2 linked regions of the Drosophila melanogaster genome follow. The protein of the gene in region 1 interacts with the protein of each later gene in a biochemical or structural test. Each region holds a gene or a part of one and is shown on either strand. Other genes may lie near its edges. The genes, in order: Sik2 and Crtc.

Evidence for each region.
Region 2: of the proteins of Sik2 (region 1) and Crtc, one has a biochemical effect on the other in vitro, tested with the Drosophila melanogaster proteins (one study listed by BioGRID).

What each region holds. Positions count from the first base shown.
Region 1 is NC_004354.4:2,055,899-2,064,059, reverse strand, and holds the start of Sik2 (Salt-inducible kinase 2), read left to right. Parts: upstream 1-2,144; 5' UTR 2,145-2,438; intron 2,439-3,215; 5' UTR 3,216-3,346; coding exon 3,347-3,961; intron 3,962-4,031; coding exon 4,032-4,095; intron 4,096-4,298; coding exon 4,299-4,585; intron 4,586-4,641; coding exon 4,642-5,739; intron 5,740-5,794; coding exon 5,795-6,076; intron 6,077-6,136; coding exon 6,137-6,231; intron 6,232-6,292; coding exon 6,293-7,940; exon of another isoform or gene 7,941-7,949; intron 7,950-8,003; exon of another isoform or gene 8,004-8,034; coding exon 8,035-8,142; 3' UTR 8,143-8,161. Other genes in the region: CG4281 (uncharacterized protein), read left to right, coding at 1-1,113, 1,169-1,325.
Region 2 is NT_037436.4:17,666,190-17,671,000, forward strand, and holds the start of Crtc (CREB-regulated transcription coactivator), read right to left. Parts: upstream 3,046-4,811; 5' UTR 1,918-3,045; intron 1-1,917.

The sequences.
Region 1 (8,161 bases):
GGGACAGCAGACTAAGCACACCCAAAAGACTGAGACAAAGGACAAGGACTTGAAATGTCATCGTTCTGAAGGACCCGAAGGAGTGAGCCTGGAGATGGAGGAGCTGCCCGATCAAAAGGACGCGGTCCAGAAGCTACCTTTGCCAAGTGCTGATTTTACGACCGCCAATTTTAACTCCATCAGCATGGACACCATTGTGCCTGTGACCGATATTGATGCCTTGTTATTGAGTACGCCACCAGCTGCTCCGCTGCTGCGCAAAAAGGCGCAGGGGCAGGCGCCGGGACACAGCAGCAGTAGCTCATCCAAAACGGAACGTCGCCGCCGCTTCCAAACGTTTCCACAGCCTCAGCTGCAGCTCCAAGCTCAGTCAATGGATTGTAGCGAACTTTATGACTTCTTAAGCTCTAGTTCCCTGAGCTCGTCCACCGATAGCGAGGCGGAAGTAGGTGGTCATCGACGGCACGACACCGATCGCGAGGGCGACGATGAACTCACCGACTGGCCGGGAAACGAATTCGGACCCGGAGCCAGATACGATCCAAAAAGGAAGCTTACAAAAAAATCACTACTGCCTCAAATTCGCTCGGATGACACAATTGGAGAAGATGACACTCTTATGTCTGGCACCGAAGCGGGAGCGGTGGGTATGGAACCGCCTTCGAAGTCTCCAGTCCAACTTCCAGAATCTCTTCAGGATCTTTCCCGCTTCCAACCAGCCGGCGTCTCCGAGCCTATCGAGATTCAGAATGCCTGCTCAGAGATGGAAACAAATGCAGATGGCACCATGCCGGCTTCCCGCCAAATCGAGAGTGAGATGTCCGGCGAAACCTCTAATCCGTTTCTTTCCTCGTCGCCTCCTGGACACGCCCAGGGACAGGAAGTACGTGAGATACGAGCAGGGTGTCGCCGCATCAATGGCGAGCGTCCAGGATTCAGCATCAAGATGAGCGTCAATGAGCGCATCGCCCGATTTTTGCAGGATTCGCAACAGACACAGATCCGTTTGCCGGATATAGAGCTTTATGAGACCGATAGCATGAGTAATCTGGCCACGCTCTATTCACTTACCATGGTGGTAGAGCACGGATGTACAGTGCTCACCAAAACCGGGTAAGGATAAAGGGATACTTATTCAAAGTCTATAACTAAGTTGTTGCTCTTCCAGGAACACTACGCAGACGGTGAGCATGGATCATCTTCAACAAGGTCTGCAGCCGCGTGCAGATCTCTTTGGCGATTTTAAGCGGCGCTGCTACGGTGAGGAGGGAGAGGAGGAAGGAGAGCAGCAGCAGCCGCTTCAGCAAGATCCCGGCCAGATTTAGCCCCAGAAAGCAACACTATAATCCAAACAAGACCAATCCCTAGCAAATGCAAACGTACAGCCATCAGCACTCGAGGTGAAACTCTTGGCATACGCTTGCATTTCTAGGGTGGAAGAAACCCTTAATCTATGAATGCTTTTAGCTTGTTTTTGTGAAATCTGTTCCATGTACATAAGTTGCATCGGTCCGTGTATATACTAACTGACTTCGTTAGGGAATGGCGCCAGCAAGACGGATACCGGATCCCAGATCCCGTCGGTTTGGGCTCACGCTTGGAAGCGAGCGAGATGACACGTTTCAGAGACAGAGAGAGAGGACCGACCGAAAGCCGTCGGCAGCCGTTCCACTGTACAAAATATTTAATGTAAGACCTTCAGCGAATATGAATATAAGAAATATATATGTGTGGTCATATCCGGAATACATGTGGACTTCATTTTTACCTAGAATGTGGTGGATATTTTATATAAAAGAGCAACATCCCAATACAAATCAGTAGCAAAAGTATATCTGAGTATATCTGAAAAAAATTTGAAAATAGTTCAAACTCTTTCTGTTAGTTGTACCGGTCACTGTCTATCTGAAAGCTGAATCGGTGAAACGGGTTATATTGCATACTGTTTTACGATCAAAGGGCGCGAAATTCAAATGAATTCCATCAAACTTCCCACCCTCGCGAAAAAGTTGGCGCATGCTCGATGCTCGGCACTTGGCGCTCACTTGGCAACCCTCATGTGTGTGCTGGTGAGGGTCGGAAATTGAGGGGCGAGTGGGTGGAATGGGGCAGACAGCGCCGAGCTTGCGTCAAATACGGACGCCAGTTGGACGCAGCTCGGGATTGGAGGCAGCCACGTTTCCTAGCCATCTGCCGTGTGTGTCGCAGCGACTGTGTCTGTGTGTGCCGTGCTGTGCTGTTCCGAGCCGCATGTGTGGCGCTCCGCGGACGCGATGTAAAGCGGATCCTCGCCAGCGTTTATCCTCTCATAGCCAGTAACCGGATTCGGATTAAGCTGGCCCAGCCTGTAGCCTATTCTCAGTTTTTGCCACCGCTCCTGCTCGAAACTTCTTTGTCAACCGGCGAGGCTTGTGCTTTTAACGCTTTCACCAATAACGGTATTTTTGGGGAGAGCAGCTTTAAGGGGAAATCTCCTGGCAGTGGTTCTGAATCGGTTGCACTGCATCCTGAAGGAAACAACAGTGGCCACTGGCACCGCGGAGCATTTCCACGATGCGATGCGGTTGCTCTGCTTATTGATTTTTCACCAACACTCACCCACACACATACACTCGCACGCTGGCACCCACACACTTTCAGCCGCACACACAGTCAGTGCTGGCACCTCGGCCATTTTGTGGCTGGAAAAAAAGCCATTTTGAAAGCGGAAGTGCAGCGTCAGCCATTTTCGTTGAATGTCTTCCTTTTGGTGGGCACTAACAAATGGATCTGCATGTCTTTGAGGACCTCAGCTAATGGTTTTTAAAATATTTGTCTGTACCTGGTGCGCATATGCGATATGCGAGTGAAATAACACTATTATTATCGTGATAGATTAAATTTAAACGTGAATCCAGTTTACCATTGCAATTGAACTGTGGCAACACTGCCTGAGAAAGAGAGGGAGAGTGCAGCTTTGGTGGCTTGTGGAGTCCGCGTCCGAAAGCCATACACATACACACTCGGAAAGCCGAGGTAATCTCTTATCAAGCGACGACTGCCCACCCCTTCTCCGGAGTCATCCCGTTCTTTATTGCACTTACATATTTTCTATGCACATATATGTACATGGGGAACACACAACATTAGTCGCACATCCATTCAAAAAGTTTCAGTTCATTATTGTATTGTAATTCTACCCAAAATATACCACTCTACTTTTTCTATTCCCGCAGAAGCGCTGTCATGAGACAGGAGGTGTGTGTGAGCATGTGCATCACCATCTCGCTGTCGATCGCGATCTCCCACTCCCTCCGCCTCGCGCTCTCCGTGTGAGATTTCCCGCCCAGGGTGGCGCAGTTGGAAAATGAGCACGTGCGAGGCGGCGGCCGCTGGCGAGAATGGGAGCCAGGCCAAGTCCGAGGAGAGCCAGCCGCCGGAGGATCAGAAGAAGAAGCAGCCGCAGCATGAGAGGAACGAGAAGCAGCTGGATAAGCCGCCGGAGAATTTGCCCCAAAACGGGAAAACCGAAGCAAAAGGAGCAGAAGGAGCGTGTTCACACCCCCCACTGGATGCCCTCCGGAGCTCAGTGCTCCTGGATGCCGGTGCTGCTTCGCCCTCGATAGACGCAATAGTGGCTTGCAAGGATGCACTGCTCGCCCAGAAGCTCTTTGCCAGCGGGGGTGGCTCCACGCCCGGTCCCAGTCCCACATCCTCTGCGGTGGGCGCGGGCGGTATCAGTGGCAAGGACCTGCTCAAACTCAAGGAGCCCATGCGCGTGGGCTTCTACGACATCGAGCGCACCATTGGCAAGGGAAATTTTGCAGTGGTCAAGCTGGCCCGGCATCGAATCACCAAGAACGAGGTGGCTATCAAGATCATTGACAAGTCGCAGCTGGACCAGACAAACCTACAGAAAGTCTACCGCGAAGTGGAGATCATGAAGCGCCTGAAGCACCCTCACATCATTAAGCTCTACCAGGTCAGCAGAATTTGCTGTGGCAGATCCTGCCAAGAATCGTATTCCTAATCCCGTTCTACCAATCCCACAGGTTATGGAGACCAAGAATATGATCTACATAGTGTCGGAGTATGCCAGCCAAGGAGAGATCTTCGGTGGGTTGAGGCTTCATTTTAAAAAAAATTTTTTAAACTCGGACTGTAGAGTACAGTACTCGATTTAGTTAGCAGACTTTTGAACCCACATTGCGCACAGACTTGTTGACCTTTGGACGAACAACACTAGCTTTAAATCTCTCGCATTCTCTTAAGTTGATAAGGGTTTCAATGAGATGGACTTACCTTTATATTTTATCCAGATTACATTGCCAAGTACGGGCGGATGTCCGAGTCGGCGGCGCGCTTTAAGTTCTGGCAGATCATATCGGCGGTGGAGTACTGTCACAAGAAGGGCATAGTGCATCGGGATCTCAAGGCGGAGAACCTGCTCCTGGATTTGAACATGAACATCAAAATAGCGGATTTCGGGTTCTCCAATCACTTCAAGCCGGGAGAATTACTGGCCACCTGGTGCGGATCACCGCCGTACGCAGCTCCCGAGGTTTTCGAGGGAAAGCAATATACGGGTCCAGAGATTGATATTTGGGTAAGTGGTGCGAAGTATACGTGTCAATTTATCCAAAAATGTATAATTTCCTGCAGTCACTGGGCGTCGTGCTTTATGTGCTGGTATGTGGGGCCCTGCCCTTCGACGGATCCACGCTGCAGAGCCTCCGGGATCGGGTGCTTTCCGGTCGCTTTCGCATTCCGTTTTTTATGAGCTCCGAGTGCGAGCACCTCATTCGCCGGATGCTGGTACTGGAGCCCACAAGGCGGTACACCATCGACCAAATCAAACGCCATCGCTGGATGTGCCCCGAGCTGCTGGAGCACGTCCTGATAGCCAAGTACAATCTGGGCGCCGAGCGGCAGACGTCCGTGGAACCCAGCGAGGACATTCTTCGCATCATGGCCGAGTATGTCGGCATTGGGTCGGACAAGACGCGAGCCAGTCTTAAGAAGAACACTTACGACCATGTCGCGGCCATATATCTGCTCCTGCAGGATCGAGTTAGCCACAAGAAGGAGCAGAGCAACGGCTTAGGCGCCAGCGCCCTTGCCTCGTCGACCTCCGCCAGTCGGATGATCTACAGCTCCAGAAATGACCACCAACCGACGCAGCAACAATCGCAGCAGCAGTCCAAGACAATATCCACCAGCTCGATCCTGGCCAAGGATCAGTGCCACAAAAGACTTAGCCGCCATCAGACGGTACTCATGAGTGAGCGTAACGCCCACGCCGGCGCGACACCCACAGTTCCAGATCCCGGTCCCGGATACTACGCCAAGTATGGCCCACTGCAACTGCCACTGCCTCTGACGGGCCACTCCCACCTGACTGGGTATCTGAATGGAGGAGGCGTCGAGGTGGATGCCAGCGGCATTCCGCTGCCCATGCGGTACACCCCGCTGCCGACAGCCGCGTCGCCCGCTCCCTCTAACTGCTCATCCACATCCTCGAGGGTAGGACGACACAGTCTAAGCTCCAGCTCGCCGCGAAGCCATCGACCGGTGGCCATTTCGCTCAGCATCGACAACAACCCCTCGCTGGCCAACCTGCGGTGCAGGGAGATGATGGAGGCTGGAGGAGGACCCGTTGGAGCAGTGGGTGTGCCTCTAGCGTCCAAGCAGCTTCATCAGACCATCAGCGAGTTCATCATCAAACAGAGCACCGAAGACTGTCGTGCGCTGCTGCAGCAGGTGAGTTTTCGGCTGATTCTATCCCAAGTTATTTCTATCCTTATACTTTCGGCAGTCCACAGCAGTGGCTGAGGGTAAAGATGATCCGCCAAAGGCGGAATCAAGCGTAGGAGGCGTTCCTCCGCCCGCCTCTACCACACCCACATCCAGTACAGCGGGACCGGAATCGGGATCGGCTCCCTGCCCTGGTGAGATTAACGGCAAGACAATAAAGACTATGTCCAGCTCGAGCAGCTTCGATTCTAAGGCCAATTTGGGCCAAAGCTTTCGCTACAAGATGTCCGCCGAGGCCAGCAAGCTTTTCCAGACTCTCCAGGAAAGCCCACTGCCCGTGGAGGTGAGTGATACGTGTGAGTTAATAATTGCTTCCAGCTGACAAATTCCATTTCCTCTCCAGCAAAGGACTAAGCGTCGTGTGCACGTGGGCAGCACCAATGGCAGCGGCGGTGACTCCGGCCAGGAAACGAATGATGCGAAATCGAATGGCGACAGGTGAGTCTTGCAGTCACAGCGATAGTTTCTTGACTAATGTCGTTTTCTTCCGTTTCCGCAGCCGCTCGGAGAAGAAAGTTCTGGCCCAAGGCAGCTCCAGCACAGATGAGGGCTGCGAGACAGACCAGGGCAACGATCCGGGCTCTGCTTCCCAGGAGTCAAAGGGCAGCAATGGCGGCGGTAGCGGTAACGCCAACGGCGGACCCACCTCGCACTCCAGCAGCGATCTGACGCGGCTCGTTGGAACCACTACCTCTGGACAGAGTCACAAGATGCGCTCGTATGCCAGTAGTAGCTCGTCCAGTGGCGTTCTCGCCGGGAGCGCTGGTAGCTACTCCAAAAGTCTGAGCCAGAACCTGAGCCGCGGCTCGTCCAAGAGCAATTGCAGCGGTCCCTACGATAGCTTGGACTTTGCCTTGCCTTCTGGCAAGGGCAGTCTACCCTCGTGCATGGGCTCAAGTTCGATGCTGGCCACGCCCACTCCGGCCTCGGCATCGCCAGCGGGAATCTCATCGGAGCATTCATCGGAAAGATCGCTGTACGGGAGCCACAACTCCTGCATCCATATGCCAGGAGCTCTGCCGTTGGGCTTGGGCCTTCCTCAGAGTTCAGCCTCCACGCCCACGCCGAATCCTACGCCTCCGCCAAATGGCGGTGGTGTCACGTTCCTGGACAAGCGTTCACCCATACACTTTCGCGAAGGAAGACGGGCGAGTGATGGCCTGGTGGCCCAGGGCCTGCTTAGCTCTGGTTCCTTGCTGGGCACCAGTCGTGTGTACGGAAGTTATCGCTACGAGCAGGCCAAGCGTCACGGTTGGCTGGAGATCCAGCAGCTGCAGCAGCTGCAGCAGGAGGCGGCTGTGGGGCATTCACACCCACATGCCCATCAACATCCGCATCAGCATCCGCATCCTCATCCCCAAGCGTACGGCTTGGAAGAACTCTGTCAATTTCCAAATGGTCAATTCTATGCTCTGCCGGGCAAGCATCATCCGCTGCTGACTTTGCCCCATCATCATGCGCATCCTGCGCAGCATCACCATGGCCATCATTCGCTGTTCCATTCAGGCCACCAAGCCACACCTCTGCTCCTGGAAGCCGCTGCTGGTGGGGATATGTATGGTCATGGATGCTATGCTCCGCCACCGCCGCCACCAGGGCTATACACGCACCATCAGTTGGGCGTGGGTATGGCCGTGCCCATGTCCCCGATGCAAAAGCCACCGCTGCAGCAGCAGCTACTGCAGCACCGCCTGCTTCAGCAGAAGCGTCAGTTGTTCCAGAAGCAGTACGCACTGGAGGCGCAGCTAGCCGGTCGACATCACCACCATCAGCAGCACAGCCATCACCACCATCACCACTTTGGCCACAGCCTGGGTCCGCCACCGCCGCCGGCTCCGGCTCCGGAACATCACCTGGCCGACGAGTTGTACGAGTTGGCCTTGCTTGATCGGCCCAGGAGCGGAACTCCTAGGCTTCAGCACTCCATGACCATGCCCGGAGCTCATGCCTTCAGTCAGATGAACCTCAAGACTTCCTACATCAGCCAATCGGACCAGGTGCCTGGTGCGGCGCCTAATGGAGCTGGTTCCGGAGGATCAGCTGCTGGGGTATCATGCTCAGCTCCACCGTCCACGGCGCCGGGTACGCCCACGGTCAAGTGCAAGCCTACCACGCCCCACGGTCACAGCCTGGACTCCGACTATCATGTAAGTAAGCTAGATAACGCATATTAAGATGATTTCTCAGGCATCCCAAGTTCGTATATAAACCTTATCCGTTTTCTCCTTGTGTCCTCCGCAGACATCGACGCCGGTGCTCAGCCTTTTCACGCCCAATTGGCAGTCGCTGGTAAAGCCGCTCAGCGAGAGCCCCATCCTGGAGATATCGGAGCACCTTGAGTCAGTCTGAGGCCGTGTGTGATGTTATT
Region 2 (4,811 bases), on another chromosome or scaffold:
TATTTGTTGCCAAGCAGATTGTAAATATACTTAGTTAAGAAACAGCCAAATTGAATTTAATGGAATGACAACATATTTATAAAATAAGGATTACAGAGATTTTAACTTTATCGAATTGAATTGAATTGCTCATAATTGCGGGAAATATTTTTGAATGTCACTGGCATTACTCACTACCACATTGATTGCTATAAAAGCTGGGAAATTTAGTACTTTCTCAAGACATTCCCAACTGCTCAAGTATTACTTATTAACTCCTACCCTTCTTCAAAACCTCATTAGTTTCCACCATTAGCTAATTTAACCTTATCGATTTCTCTTTTAGGCGGAGAAAAGAATGGCTCAATTAAATCGATTGAGGTAATTCCTTATTGAGAAACCATACCTTAGCTGTATCCAATGCATAACTTTTAACGCAGATTTCTCTTTAATTCTAATTTATCATTTTGATTTGTTTGCCCGGGGATTCTTGGAACTAACGTTTGAGTTAAAATATTTTGCAAAGAAAATACTCAAGTGTTGGTTGGTTGTTGTCGACGTGTTAATTCCAGCTAAATGCTTACTCATTTTATATATCGTAACTTCATATTTATTTTATGTGCGAAAACTTCGCTTAGTGATATACTCAGAAAGTTTAGTCTTTTACTTTACTTTAAGGCAAATCGTTAAATTATTTGCGAAATAAACATATTGAGTAATCATGTTATTTCTTGAAAACTTGTGACTTGAAAGGCGTTTAGAACGTCTGAAAAGTTCAGAATCAGCTATTCAAGTTGTATATGTATCCTTGTACGGATAAAAATGTACCCATAGTTTGCTTATCAATATCCAAATGAGATACCCCCATTCTCATTCAAATGAGTCCCACTTCGTGACCATCTCTATATCTCTGTAGAACCCTATGCGATGACTAATCCAAGCAGATATCGGAAGTGTAAGGCCCATTATGGCTAAAACGCGATGCAGGAGCAAAGAGATTTAAATGCGGCTCACACTTTTGGACGAGCCGGCAATTGCGGCCATAAAAAGGCCGAGCACGCCTCAAACTAAACAAAGGTAGATATTACTTTACTTTTTGGGAGGGACTGGACTTTTTTTTAGGGGGTAGGCAATCAAAGGGAGGGGTGCTGTTGGGCAAAGCGGAAATATTCCCACGAATCGATAATGACATTTAATAATTATTTAATATATTGCGGCCGATAAAAATGGTGGTCATTTACCACAGGAAAAAACAGCTGTATATTTAATCGATAAGAACAGATAAACAAATACTATAATTTGTAAAGTCACATTTATTCATGTTGAATACAAATGAATTATAATTTTGTTAATTTTTTGATAAGAACAGATAAACAATACTATACTTTGTAAAGCCCCACTTATTCACGTTGAATACAAATTAATTATAATTTTGTTAATTTACGAACATAAAACTTTAAAAATAATGGTATTTAATGAAATATATCTTTGGCTTGTTAAGCACAATTAAAGGTCTCAAAATAAAATGTTATAATTTTATGGAATTATTATTATATTGGTCAGCATATTTCGAAACAAAAAGTAAGTTATTTTTTCTTTCCGTGCCAATTTTTGAGTGTGAATGGCCCATTTGTTCTCTCGTTGTTCCTTCTTCTCCCCACTTATCCTTCCATATCTCTCTCCCATTATCATTCTCCCCTCGACACGGGGAGACACTCCTGGGAAACCCTTATCAGCAGTTTTTTTTATAGCCACTCGCGTTCCTTGGAATTTTTGAATAATTTCGATGTTTGTTTATTTATCGCGCGGCGCAACCGCAACAGTTGAAAAGAAAACTAAGAGGGAGGGGGAAAGCGATTTGCAGAAACGTGTGTGAAGCAAAGAGGCGGCAAAAACAAAACGAACTGCAAAGAGGGGGCGGGCGAGGGCGTAACTTACATTCTCTCTCGTTCGCCGCTAACTCCGATTGGATCTCTTGCTCTCTCTGTCGCTCTTGTGCTATGCAAATTGGATTCTTGCTTGATTAAAATCTCATATAGAAGAATTAAGTTTTTGGCGCTTTTTATTTGTTGTTATTGTTATGACCTTTTGCGTTATTTTTTTGTGTTTTTTGCGTCGCTTAATAAAACCAGATTTGATTTTGAGTTGTTTGCGAGCCGAGAGTTGTTAAATCCAAAAATCGGTTTGCTGGGGGATTATTTTAACAACTGATTGTTTTTTTTGTGTTATTTCTACTCGCTCTTACACACACACACACAGCCGCACGCGCACGCACACTTCGAGAGGTTTATTGTTTTAACGCAAAACTGCGACGTTGTTTTTTTTTTATTTTGCGCTCTCAGCTGGTTGGCACTTTTTGCGCTATTTTTTTGGTTACCGCATGAAAAGTGAAAAACTTTCGTTGCGCCTTTGACCTCTTTTCACACAGACACACGCACACACACACTGCTAGGCGGACGAGTGTGCCTCTAATTGGGTGTCCAATTGGGATTACAGCACGCAGCAAAAGCGGCGGCGTCGGCCGATTCTATATTGCATTTCCTTGATTTCTATATATTCTTTGCCCCGATTTTTTGGCTTTTGTTTTTCGCACACCAATGGAAAAGCTCACCAACACACGGACACACGCGCGCACACACACTGACACGCGGGACTGTGGATTTTTGCGGGCAACGGGACTTCTACTGTTGTGCACACTCACTCCGCAGCAATCTCGTATTCTTATTTTCGTTTATTTCGCGTTTTTTATGCCCCTATTTTGCTCTGCTGCACTCTCTCACTCGCACAGAGAACAACTTATTATTGCTGCTGCTGCTGCCTTGCTTCTTCTTCTTCGCTCATCTTCGTCGCTGTGATGGCTCTTCACTTTTTCGCTTTGTTCTGTGGTTTTTCCGCTTTTCCTCGCACGCCGTTTTAATCGCGTGTTAGTCGTGCACTTGTACAGCAATTGCGCGTCGCCTTTTTCAACGTTTTTTCCACGTTTGTTTTGTTATTTTTCCACTTTTTCTCATATTTTCCTCTGCTTCTTCGATATCAGGAGGTGTATTGGTATGAACCTATCGGGGCCATCGTTCTCCGATACTAGGAAGATATCGGCTATCGAGTTTGAAATTGGCAGCCATGCAGTGTGGCCAGAATTTGGTTGAGACAAAATACATTGCTGAACAGCGAACAGGTGATGTGTGGGAATTTCCACCAGATATTTAAAGCCAGGGCTGTCATTTCTACTTTATTTAAATGCACGTATATGATATTCAAGTCATTTTTTAAGTGCATCATATTAAATAAAAAATACAGCTAAGAGCGTAACAACTAATCAAAGTTTACTTTTTACTGATGAAAGATAAAGTGGGCTAAACCAATATGATATGTAACATAAGTTAATTATCAATTGTCAGTATTAATCAGATTACTGCATTTGTATGTAAGGTATATATATTTACAGAATAAACAGAACGTTTGTTTTTTTAAAGGGAAATATATTTTTGAAAATATTATATCTTGGGTTTCGATGTTAATCGCCGTGCAATCGGTTCGAGTCCTCACTTTTAGTCGCTTGGTAAGGTGTCTTGTCATTTAGTCCAATATATGGTATGGTGTCTCCGCTAATTTAGATTCGCAACGGAATTTTAAAAATAAATATTGATTTGATATAATTAAATAGTAATTATATAATTTACATTTATTATATGTGTTGTATTCCATGGAAATAAATAACTTACATTAAAAAGGCATACACAAATTTTATTATTAATATGCTGTCTCAAACTCTCCGTTTTGTTGACTTTGACAAAGCAAATTGTGTGGTTGCATTAGTTATTCTGCAAGCGTAATTAATGTATATTAAATTCAAAAGTTCTTAATCCATCATATTAAATGAGCGGAGCAATCATATAAAATGAAATGCAATTTAATATGCCCATTAGAAGCTAAGATAAATCATCAAAAATGATTTGGATTTCGTTTTTGGGCGCTTAAATTGCATCAACCAACACATTCAAATGGGCTTTTGCGTTCGCGTGTGTGCGTGCGGGTGTCTGTTGTGTGTGTGTGTAAACGTCTGTTTCCCTTTCCGTTAACATTTTGTGTCTGGTTTCCGGCATTTTGTGTGCGCCATTTAAAATTGTTTTCCACGATACGAATCTGCCAAACGCTCTCTTTTTCTCTTTCGTTCCCGCGAATGGAGAAAATTTTTCTTCTCGCAGACACTTGAAGCAGGAATTGGTAGCAAATTGGCGGCCTCGGGGTTACGAAGACATTTAAGGGCCGACAAGGAAATGGAGAAATAAAAATGAGGGCCAAGAATAAGGCCGAGAAGTTGGAAGAAGTAGGAGGTACTAGGTAAATTGTGTGCAAGCGATAGAAATCTCTCAGAACATTTCCTGTTTTTTTTCTTTCATTCCTATTCAAAATATTTGCCCCTTTTTTGCCTTTTTCCTTGTTCCTTAAACTTCTCTGTTACCATTCGTTTCGTGCATTTATTCCAAATTCTTTCATAAATATTTGCGCCCTTTGTGCGCTTAATTCATTCATCAAACTGTCAAATGAATGTCAAAACTAATAGAGCGCCCACTAGCCCACTTCCTCCCATAAAAAACAGCCACGAAAAGGTGCTCAATTATTGAAATGAATTAGTGGGCGCCAGTGGGTGGGCTTAAGCCGATTTCTCCTCTGCCTTTACTAGGGCTTTTTGTCCAAACATTTTCCTACAGCACGTTTTATGGCATAAAGAGTGGGTAAGCTCTTCCAATGAGCTTGGACACTTAATTGAAGTTAATTTCGATTTAGGGGTTCTCAGGAACAATTCGAAGCATTGGATTCGAGGAAATAAT